3 linked regions of the Arabidopsis thaliana genome follow. The protein of the gene in region 2 interacts with the protein of the main gene of each other region in a pairwise test. Each region holds a gene or a part of one and is shown on either strand. Other genes may lie near its edges.

Region 1 (3,760 bases), on a different chromosome or scaffold from region 2:
AACAGACGATAAGTGTAAGATCCGGAACAAAACAACAACACATGAATATATTTATGGGCTAAAATGATAGAAAAGGAAAGAGGTTTACGTACAAAGTGGCTGCAGACATCACATTTAGGATGATATCTCTCCCTGTAACAAGCCTTGTGAAAAGGGTAGTTCCCTGATGTTGAAAACTATAGGAAAAAAGGGAAACACATTACAAAAGAAAATCTAAAGGTTAAGTAGAACCAGAAAGCAAATGAAGAGGATATGGAAGAGAGCTTGGTTTCACCTCGTACTCAGAAATCGGCTGACTGCAGCCATAACATCGAAAACATTCTGGATGCCATAGTGAATTAAGGCAATTCAGAAATCTTCCATGGCCAATCTCCATATTACAGCCAGCACAAATCCTATGCAGACAAGTTGTTGACAAGTTATTTGGCTGCTGGACACTAAACTAACACATCGACCAAATTAAGCCAGCTAAATATGATTGGCTATCTAAATACCTGAAATCCATTTGAAAAGTAATAGGTCTTGGATAATAAATATCTCCATTTGCATATACATTTCCTCCTCCATACATATGTCCATTCCCATATAAATCTCCAGCTCCATATGCATTCCCATTATCATATGTACTTCCACTTTTGTGACGGGGTGAATTCCCAACTACCATACTTTCTTGTAGGGCTCTAGCAAGTTGCTCATCTTCATCCACCGGCATCGAGTATTTCCCTGTGTCCATTACTTTTTTTAAAGGAATTGTAGCAAACCGAATCCGATAACAAAACCATGTCTTCATATATCTGTTTTGGCTAAAACAATCCTGAAAATGAACTCACCGCTTATACTTGTCTGTTCTTGATTCTCTTCTAAAAGCGACAATGCAATTGCACGGTCTATGTCTTCATTTTCCTGGTCATTCGATGTATTATCCTAGTAAAGAAAAACCACAAAAGTTGAAATAACAGTACAGACCAGAGCTATGATAAACCGTCAACTATATATGTGGTTCTTTTCACTACTTCATGATCCCCAAACTCACCTCAGATGTAGATGGTTCCTGAGTATGATGAGGTTCATCATTATCAGCATCTGTATCCGCCGCACTAGGCTCATCATCATGTGAAGCAGTCGGATAATTATCGTAATAAACATTGTGATTGTGCTTATTATTCCCAACCCGGAGCCTTTGGTTAGAGCCTTTAAAGATCTTGTTAAACCAACCCATAATGCCTAAATAAAACTATCTGCTCATACGGCAATGCAGCCTGCAAAATCGTCGAATCATCTCTGATTAGCAAAAACCCAAAACAAACTTGTTTCACTTCCAAACATCAAAAGCCACAGAACAATAGCACTTTGAATCTAACAACAATAACTAAACAACCCTAAAACCTGTCACCATTAAGCAAACGAGTTCCAAACGGATTTGTTTTTTGTTTTTTTTTTCAAAAAACCATGAAATTAGAATCCAGACATGGAATTATCAAGTAATTGCAGCTGCAAAGAAGCTAAAGATCGTCCCTTTACCTTGAGAAAATCCTGAATCAGATAAGATCCCAATAAGCTTCACGAAACCCCCACAAAATCCAGAATCACAAAAATGATCTAATCAAGCAAGGGAAGCAGCAAAAGAATCTCAAAAAGGACTCTTTAGTTCTCTCCTTTCTTCAAAATTTGGGGAAGAATCTATAACATGGGGGAAAAAAAAAAAAAAGAGAAAAGAAAAGAAAAAAGGAAATTAAACTTTTTTTATATAAAAGAATGCAACTTTGACAAAATCAATGTCTACTCATACACGAATAAACCCAGAATGTGCTTGAATTCTACGCTAATCCAAAGTCAAAAAATTTGGTGCACTCACAAAAAAAGAATAAAAATCGTATTTTTATTTAATGAGGATCACGAAGAAGAGATCGAGAGTATCGAATATTTTGGAACGAAAAAAACAAAAGAGGAGAAATGAATTAAAAAGTCTTCGTGTCCGAAGTTTTTTGGTCGTTGAGCTTGTTGAGCTCTTCTTCTTCTTCTTCCAGGAAAAAACGTTCCCCACGCTGTGATTTAGAGATAGAAAGAGAATTATAATTATACTATTACGCAATTTAAAAGTCAAATAATTATTTTGTTTTGGCAATTTCTTCCATTTTGCAACGTTTATGCAAATATCTAGATATTTAATATTTAATTATTGCTTCAAGCCTTAAACCAAATCTTCTACAAGTCGTAACGCATTTATCCGGATTGTCGGGTTCTAATTCTAATAAGATTTTATATATTTTTGCTAGAAAACATTAAATATATTTTTTTTATAATTTTCCACTAAATTGTAAAATTATTTATAAATATATATTTTCTTTATTACTAAATGATTTATTTCTAAAAGATTAATCTTTTAAATTTTTCATGCAATATTTATTGGATAATATTAGTGAATTGTAATTTTCTAAAAAAATAGTTAATTATCATTGATTTAGAATAATAGAAAATTGTAAAACACAAAAAATAATAAATTTATAATCAATATTTAATATATATATTTTTTTAATATGTGTGTTTTTCTAAACATCAAACAAAAACGCATAAATACAAGAAAAAATGTATAAATACTAATTAACTGTTTAAACCGTTGTTGTTTCAATTAATTGTCAAGTTATCGAATTTTAGTTGATAGATTTTTTAACCAATACGATAATTAGAATTTGATTTGAACCAAAATCTAGGCTCCCATAACTCACTCACATTTTATTGATATGAAAATAATATTATTTAACTTTTGGCTTTTCAGCGTGATTTGTAATTTTACCAATTGCCAAATAATTCAGCAGAAAGCTAAGAAATGAGAAGAAAAAAAATTGAAAAAGAGAAGTACATATAATGAATTAATGATGTTATTACTTATTCCATATCGAAAAGGTGACAACAAAGGAAAAAAAGTTGAAGAAAAGATTAGGAAAAAGTTGGTGAGGCGTGGTTTTGTTAAAATATTACAAGCAAACACAATTTATTAATTTTATATCATAACTTTAAATTAGAAAGTAAAGTATAGAGGTGAAAAAAGATATGGAAAGGAAATTTGTTGATTTATGCAAAAAGTAAAAGTTCAATCATGTTTACCTTATTGACATATTATAATTTAGCATACACGTACGATATACATTACATGAATTCATAAATTATAAACTACATGTATGAGTGTCAATGTCACAATGTGATATCGTTCATCATCACTTTACAATATTATTAAACGAATAATTTGGTAATTAAGTATGTGAATTTCTTCTTTATACACTCGCGGAAGTTACGGTGACCACGGAAAGTGATAGCTTTTATGGGCTTTCACAGGCCCGTTATTATTTTGAATGTAAAAAAATCGTATCTCGTTTATAGGCTTTATAAGCTCATATATGTAACAAATTTTTACTTCATTATGTTTCTAACCAGTAACCACGACCTTTATATAAACCCGCATACATTACTTAACCACTAGCCGTCTATTGGATCCGACGATTTAGCTATTACTACTATTACATTCTTGAGATAGCTGAGTTTGGGTTTGTCATGAACAAGTTGTTCTTTATGTATGATACAACTTGTATATTACTTCATACCTCATTTTGGTTTGTAATACTGAAATCATTTGAGCCTCGTTCTTTTTTTTACGAAAGCTCTACCAAACCATTCAACTAGTTAGCTTATATTAATTTTCATGTCTTCTGCTTATTTTTAACGTTCAATGAAGTTGCAAATTACCTTATCTCACAAGTTCACA
Region 2 (3,760 bases):
GTTATCAAACGGATCCTTTACAATGAATGCAATCATCGAAAAAAAACCATAAAAATATTCTTAAAAAAATTATACACTATGAAAACTGTGATGTCTCATCTCTTTCAAGGGTTTAGGCTTAAAAGCTTCCCTTTTCTCTTATACACTGTCGTTAGTTTTAAATCTCATTACTTATCATCAATCTGTTCAAACCCTATCTACTTTTAACATAGAAAAAGATTCCTTTCCTTCCCTCTCTACCCTTCTCTCTCCATCTCTTACACTATTTACACATCAACAATTTGTTAAGTAGCAATTGAATATGAGAGAGAGAGATATAGGGAGAGAGATTGTGTGTAGAACTGCAAGTTAATAAAGAATGTGGGGGTAAAGAGTACACAGTAGATGAAGACAATGAGACTTAGTTTTCAAACTTCTTCTTTGCTTTGGCTTTTATTGGTCATATCAGACTCTTTATTTATAGATGATCTACTTAGCTCTCTGTGTTGATTCTTAGCTTTCAAAGGTAGCTTTTGGCCTCACCCTATATACTCTATACAGGTTACTGCACATATACATTGGTATGGACTTGCCACTAGTGCCAAACCTTTTGCACATTAATTTTCACATATATATAAGTAGATTTAGATGGTGTATATATAAGACAAAACAATAACTGAAAATCTTAGGACCAAGAATGAAGGCATAACCAAAGAAGGGGGGAACCACATTGTCAGTTTTTATGGAGTTTTTGGGGGACCATTAGTTTCGTTTCACTCTTTCTCTTTCACTTATTTAAGCTTAACTTTGACAAATACGTACCCCCACCTATATTACTACACGAAATTACAATATATTTATATATAAAATCTCATCAATTTCTTTTCAACTACATTTATGTTTCCATGTTTATAAAATTCAGTCAATTAAGACGGTGGTTTAAATGTTAAAGGCCACAAGTAGATTTATGTGAATGTTAAAAAGTCCCAAGTTTAGAAATTCCGTCAAATATAATTAATCCATGCAGATTTTGATTTACCATTTATTGGTTTACACTAGATTTTCAAAAGGAATATTTGGTGCATTCACACAAGGCTCAAGATTGTTTGTTTTTTCTTCAAAAAATATGATATTATCAAAACCTCTAATTTTGTAGCAAAATCAATTTTATTTAAATCTAAAACATGTATTGTCTTGGTTGGTTCACATCATCTTGCAAACTCTGTAACACTATAAATTGTTACAATTTGTATGTTTATCGAAAAAGCGCAACGATAATATTGACATAAACAAGTAGATTAGGTGTCATGATAGTATATATATTATAAAAAAACTAATACGAAAGAAAAAACAGTTTCCCGAAAATAAATTAAAAATTCCAAGTTTGACCCTTGGACACAACAAAATATATCAACCTATATTAATGTTAGAGAGATGATGGATGATGATTGATGATGTGCAAATGAGACAAAATTATATCACACTTTCCTTTTCAATCTTTAAATTCCAAAACAAAAGGTACTGTTGGGTTGCTCCCTTATTAGGTGAAAAAAACCTCACACAACACAGACAATTTCACTCTGTCTCTTTCACTACACCTCTATATCTCCCTCTAGATACATATCCCTATTTATATATGTATTGTTTCGAACACTGCGTGCTCTCACACTTTGTTACACCTCCAAAAGACAAAGTACATAGAAGAAGAAACTTCTTGTCACGCCTCTCTTACCCCTTCCCTTGTGGTCCAATAAAACCCTAATTTTCTTTTCTTTCTTTTATCCATTGTATTAGATCCTATATCTTTCTTCCTTATAGACCATCTCTCATGTCTTCTTATATATATTAAGATATTCACAAGAACTACAAAAGAAAGAAAGGAGATGGAGTGGTCAACAACGAGCAACGTAGAAAACGTGAGAGTAGCTTTCATGCCACCGCCATGGCCGGAGTCTAGTTCCTTTAACTCGCTCCACAGCTTCAACTTTGATCCTTACGCAGGTATATTCACACACCATCGTACCAAGTCTGCATATGTTACATGCTTTCGTTTTTTTTACTTTTAGATGTGTTTAATTCCATATTTGACGAATTCATGAACTTTAAAACCTTATTTATCCCACTTGCAAATGTTCTCAAGAAGTTTTTTTTTTTCTGTGAATGATGTAAAGAATTTCAAATATGACGTCCCTAAACTTCATTCCAAATGTCAACTAAAACGTTACTTTTCTGATGAGAAGCTAAGATTTTCTTATCTTCAGTCTACAATATCTATAAATAAAGTTTCTTACTTTTTTCTTGGGATCCTACAAAAACAATTTCTTGGGATCCAAATGCAAAAAGGTAAAACGTCACTTTTGAAAAGTTGAGATTCGTTTATGGTATAGTTCACTCTAAGAAAAATGGTTGCGGACATAATTTTATTCTTCTTATACTTTTGGAAGTTTTTTTTTTTTTTTTTTTTTTTTCGTATAATGATTATATTGTTGCGCTTCTATGTTTAAATATTTCCTTTTATCCTTTCGGGGCGTTTGCTAAAATGTTTAACAGCAGGAAATTCATATACGCCTGGCGATACACAAACCGGACCGGTTATCTCTGTACCGGAATCAGAAAAGATCATGAATGCGTACCGATTTCCGAACAACAACAATGAGATGATAAAAAAGAAGAGACTAACGAGTGGACAATTAGCTTCACTTGAGCGAAGTTTTCAAGAAGAGATCAAATTAGATTCAGACAGGAAGGTGAAGCTGTCGAGAGAGCTCGGTCTGCAGCCACGTCAGATAGCAGTTTGGTTCCAAAACCGCCGTGCACGGTGGAAGGCGAAGCAGCTTGAGCAGTTGTACGACTCGCTTAGACAAGAGTACGACGTCGTTTCTAGGGAGAAACAAATGTTACACGATGAGGTTTGTGTATTATATTGCACAAAATTAAAATCATGGGATCTAATTACATATTATCGTTTTCTTAATTTATCCCTTAAAGTCTTGATTCTATCAGATTGCCCCCCTTAAAAAATTGGATTGGTGGTGCAGGTGAAGAAGCTGAGAGCTTTACTAAGAGACCAGGGTTTGATCAAGAAGCAAATCTCTGCCGGGACCATCAAAGTTTCCGGTGAGGAAGACACGGTGGAGATTTCATCGGTGGTGGTAGCTCATCCAAGAACGGAGAATATGAACGCAAATCAAATCACCGGAGGGAATCAAGTTTACGGTCAATACAACAATCCGATGCTGGTTGCTTCCTCTGGCTGGCCGTCATACCCCTGATAGATGTTGCTGATCTCAGAGAGAGGGAAAGAGAATGAGAGAACGAGAGAAAGAGAGAGAGAGAGATTGTGTCAAATAGAGCTTTAGACTAGGACTTTAGTAGTGTTATAGACTAAGACAAGCTTTCTCTCATTGTACGATCTTAAAACATAAATGGCACGTTCTTGGATGCGAGATTGAGTCTGAAAATTGTTGAGTTGGTTTTGTTGAACAACTATACTATGAACACTCAGAATTGGCGAATGTCCGAAACAAAACTAGCTATAAACCAAAATAATGACGAGAGTAAACGAGATTGTACAAATCTTGACACTGATGCTCAGCATTTTCCGCTTCCCTTCACCGAACTTGAGACCTCTTGACGCAAAAAAAAGCTGCTTAGGCTTTGTGTGTGTGTGTGTGTGTGTGTGTGTTGTAGCTTGGTAAAAAGCTAATCTTTATATGTACATGACTGTCTCCAGGTAAGCTTTGATTGAAGAAGGCTTTAGTTGTTAAATATTTAAGAACTT
Region 3 (3,258 bases), about 15 Mb from region 2:
ATATCTTCAACATCTGAATCCACACTTGGTTTCTTCTTGTTGTTCTTCCTCTTCACCTCCTTGTCTATGTTTTCTTCAGCTCCCAAATCAGTATCATCCCGCTTTCTTTTTCCCTTTTTCTTATCAGATACTTTGGAGCTTTCAGTATTTTCTATCACATCACCACCAGATTCTTTCTTGCTCTTCTTCTTCTTCCTCTTCACACCATCATGAGCTTCAGAATCAACCTTTGTCTCCTTACTTTTCTCCTTGGATTTCTTCTCCACACCATCATCCTCAGCTTCGGAATCAGCCTTTGTCTCCTTACTTCTCTTTTTCGATTTCTTCTTCACAGCATCAACAGCTTCAGAATCAATCCTTATTGGCTTCTTCGACTTCTTCTTCTTCTTAACTATAAAAACCTCATCACCTAGTTTCTCACTTTCACGCCCAGTTATCTCCATATCTTCTCCAGTAAAACCATCCTTATTCTCTCGCTTATTCTTCTTCCTCTTCTTTTCCTTATCCTTCATAGAACTGTGCTCGGAAATGAATTCTTCACCGGTTTCTTCAGAATCAACCTTAGCGTCACTCTTTTTCTTCTTATTCTTCTTCTCCTCAGCCATCTCATATACCGGCGGACACGGTTACGAAACCCTAATCACAAAAACCGCCGCGACTTTCGCTCAAATCTAAATCCGAATTTCGATTGAGTGATTTTAAGACACAGCGATGCTGAGATTGATTGTGAAGGAGCTTTTGGATACGGCGGCTTCCTTCATGAATTTGAGATGATTAGGGTATTTAATTACTTTTGTTAAAAAAAATTCCTTTGAACTTGGGTCTTCAATGACCCACTACCCATATTTGGGGCTTGAGTACTACTAGGCCCAACGTATTGCTCTTGACGTTATCAAGTTTTAACAAGAGTTTGATCTAATTTCTATCACTTATGTTACAACTTACAAAGTTGGTGGTTATATTGTGAAATTTCTAAATGATTTGGAAGAAAAAGAAATCAAATAATTACTACTAGAATAAATCAGTATATAAGAGACCTTGGGAAAAGTATTTAAAAATGTAGAATCTTCTTGGATTAACTTCAATGTTTTGTGTGGTGGAGTTTGGATCTTACATGATCATTTGGGACAAAGCTAGTTTTCATCAAAGGGATGCAATTGAAGAACATACTAAACATATATAATCGAAAACTGATATAAAAAAACATAAACACAAAGGTTTGTTTTGAGTTTTGACCTTATTATCAAGTGATGAAAGAATGTAAAACTTAGTTTTTAATGATGTTGATAACCTCTTTTGATTTAAATAAATTCTTTTTAATGTGTGATTTATGCTCAAAACTAAATTTTTCTAATGTTTTCATATTATTTAATTTTGCCCTTGTTAACTCTCATGGATGTTGCCATGTTGATTTGATTGAGCTTTGGATTGGAATTTTTTTTTTTATTTTTTTTTTTTTTTTTTTTTCTTTGGATTGGAATTCATTCGGTAAGTAAGAATATTTCGTGATTATAGAACTTCTAATTATGTAAAAAAAATAAAATAATGCGTGAAAATAATAAAAAGTTGTTACCCTTTTTTTTTACTTAGGTCAAGAGGTCACAACACACGCCCCACCTTGAATCTGAGAGAGAGAGAGAAGTACGTCCCCACACCTTGACATGGTCATGGAGCCCAAGAAGAACCAAAATCTACCAAGTTTCTTAAACCCATCACGACAGAATCAGGACAACGACAAGAAGAGGAAACAAACAGAGGTTAAAGGTTTCGACATTGTGGTCGGCGAAAAGAGGAAGAAGAAGGAGAATGAAGAGGAAGACCAAGAAATTCAGATTCTTTATGAGAAGGAGAAGAAGAAACCAAACAAAGATCGTCACCTTAAAGTTGAAGGAAGAGGTCGTAGAGTTAGGTTACCTCCACTCTGTGCAGCAAGGATTTATCAATTGACTAAAGAATTAGGTCACAAATCAGATGGTGAGACTCTTGAATGGTTGCTTCAACATGCTGAGCCATCGATACTCTCTGCTACTGTAAATGGTATCAAACCCACTGAGTCTGTTGTTTCTCAACCTCCTCTCACGGCTGATTTGATGATTTGTCATAGCGTTGAAGAAGCTTCAAGGACTCAAATGGAGGCAAATGGGTTGTGGAGAAATGAAACAGGACAGACCATTGGAGGGTTTGATCTGAATTACGGAATTGGGTTTGATTTCAATGGTGTTCCAGAGATTGGTTTTGGAGATAATCAAACGCCTGGACTTGAATTAAGGCTGTCTCAAGTTGGGGTTTTGAATCCACAGGTTTTTCAACAAATGGGTAAAGAACAGTTCAGGGTTCTTCATCATCATTCACATGAAGATCAGCAGCAGAGTGCAGAGGAAAATGGTTCATAAAGCTCAAACCTTTAAATGGCTTTTAATTAGATATATTTAGCGAGAATGTGATTGCTAGTGAAATCTCAAACTTGATAGCTTATTCATAGCTTATTTTACTTCGATCAGCAAGAGAACAATGGTTCCTAAAGCTCAAACCTTTTTTGGCGTTTGCTTTAGATTGTGCATACATAAAGTGAGAAGATGAAATATGGTTTTGCTGAAATCTCAATGTGCTCATTCATAGTTTATTTTGCTCGACCTTTCTTTAATCAATAGCTTTGATGTACTGATTACTTTATAAAGTTAAGAAGTAAGTTCTGCTCTTTAAACTGTACTGAATGGAGGCTTCTCTGCATAATTAAGCAAACACTCTGATGATTGAGTTTCGTTGTACAAAGGAAAGTTTTTGCCTTAGTTAGAAATTCATCTTGTTTCTTTGCCCAGAAGCTGGCTTGCTGATAGAATTTGGACTACGCTACGTTTTCTTGGGTGAAAAACAATCCGCGTCCTTCCACGAGAACAGTGAAACTGTACGATGTTCTTATTGTATTGTGTCAACAGCCCATAATCAATGAAATGGGCCTCAATGACAGTATAAGCCGAAAAATATTCGAATGCGATCTAGAACTAATCTGAAACCAAACTTCTCAAATCATTAACATTTGATTAGGGCCTAAAAGTCCATCCGTATTTTAAAAAAAAGTTGATAACAAATGCAAAAATACAAATATACATTACTATTAAAACTCAATCTTTCTGATTATATGTGGATGGAGAAGCTGTTTTGCAGTGTGGATTTGAATTTTGAAGTTCTTGTTCAAAAAAGAAAAGAAACTTGGTCAAGCTTCAAAAGAAAGAAAGAAATAAAGACAAGTATACAAAT

What was found.
Region 1: the proteins of HB51 (region 2) and DA1 interact in a two-hybrid assay, tested with the Arabidopsis thaliana proteins (one large-scale study listed by BioGRID).
Region 3: the proteins of HB51 (region 2) and AT5G41030 interact in a two-hybrid assay, tested with the Arabidopsis thaliana proteins (one large-scale study listed by BioGRID).

The regions. Positions count from the first base shown.
Region 1 is NC_003070.9:6,660,786-6,664,545, reverse strand, and holds the start of DA1 (DA1), read right to left. Parts: upstream 2,130-3,760; 5' UTR 1,522-2,129; intron 1,260-1,521; 5' UTR 1,220-1,259; coding exon 1,034-1,219; intron 925-1,033; coding exon 831-924; intron 724-830; coding exon 495-723; intron 396-494; coding exon 275-395; intron 177-274; coding exon 93-176; intron 1-92. UniProt on the Arabidopsis thaliana protein: Ubiquitin receptor that limits final seed and organ size by restricting the period of cell proliferation. May act maternally to control seed mass. Acts synergistically with DA2 to regulate seed size.
Region 2 is NC_003076.8:1,003,123-1,006,882, forward strand, and holds HB51 (homeobox 51), read left to right. Parts: upstream 1-1,659; 5' UTR 1,660-1,862; coding exon 1,863-1,980; intron 1,981-2,532; coding exon 2,533-2,888; coding exon of another isoform or gene 2,889-2,996; exon of another isoform or gene 2,997-3,017; coding exon 3,018-3,251; 3' UTR 3,252-3,509; downstream 3,510-3,760. UniProt on the Arabidopsis thaliana protein: Putative transcription factor.
Region 3 is NC_003076.8:16,427,045-16,430,302, forward strand, and holds AT5G41030 (TCP family transcription factor), read left to right. Parts: upstream 1-1,661; coding exon 1,662-2,393; 3' UTR 2,394-2,635; downstream 2,636-3,258. Other genes in the region: AT5G41020 (myb family transcription factor), read right to left, coding at 1-605; AT5G41025 (uncharacterized protein), read left to right, coding at 146-391.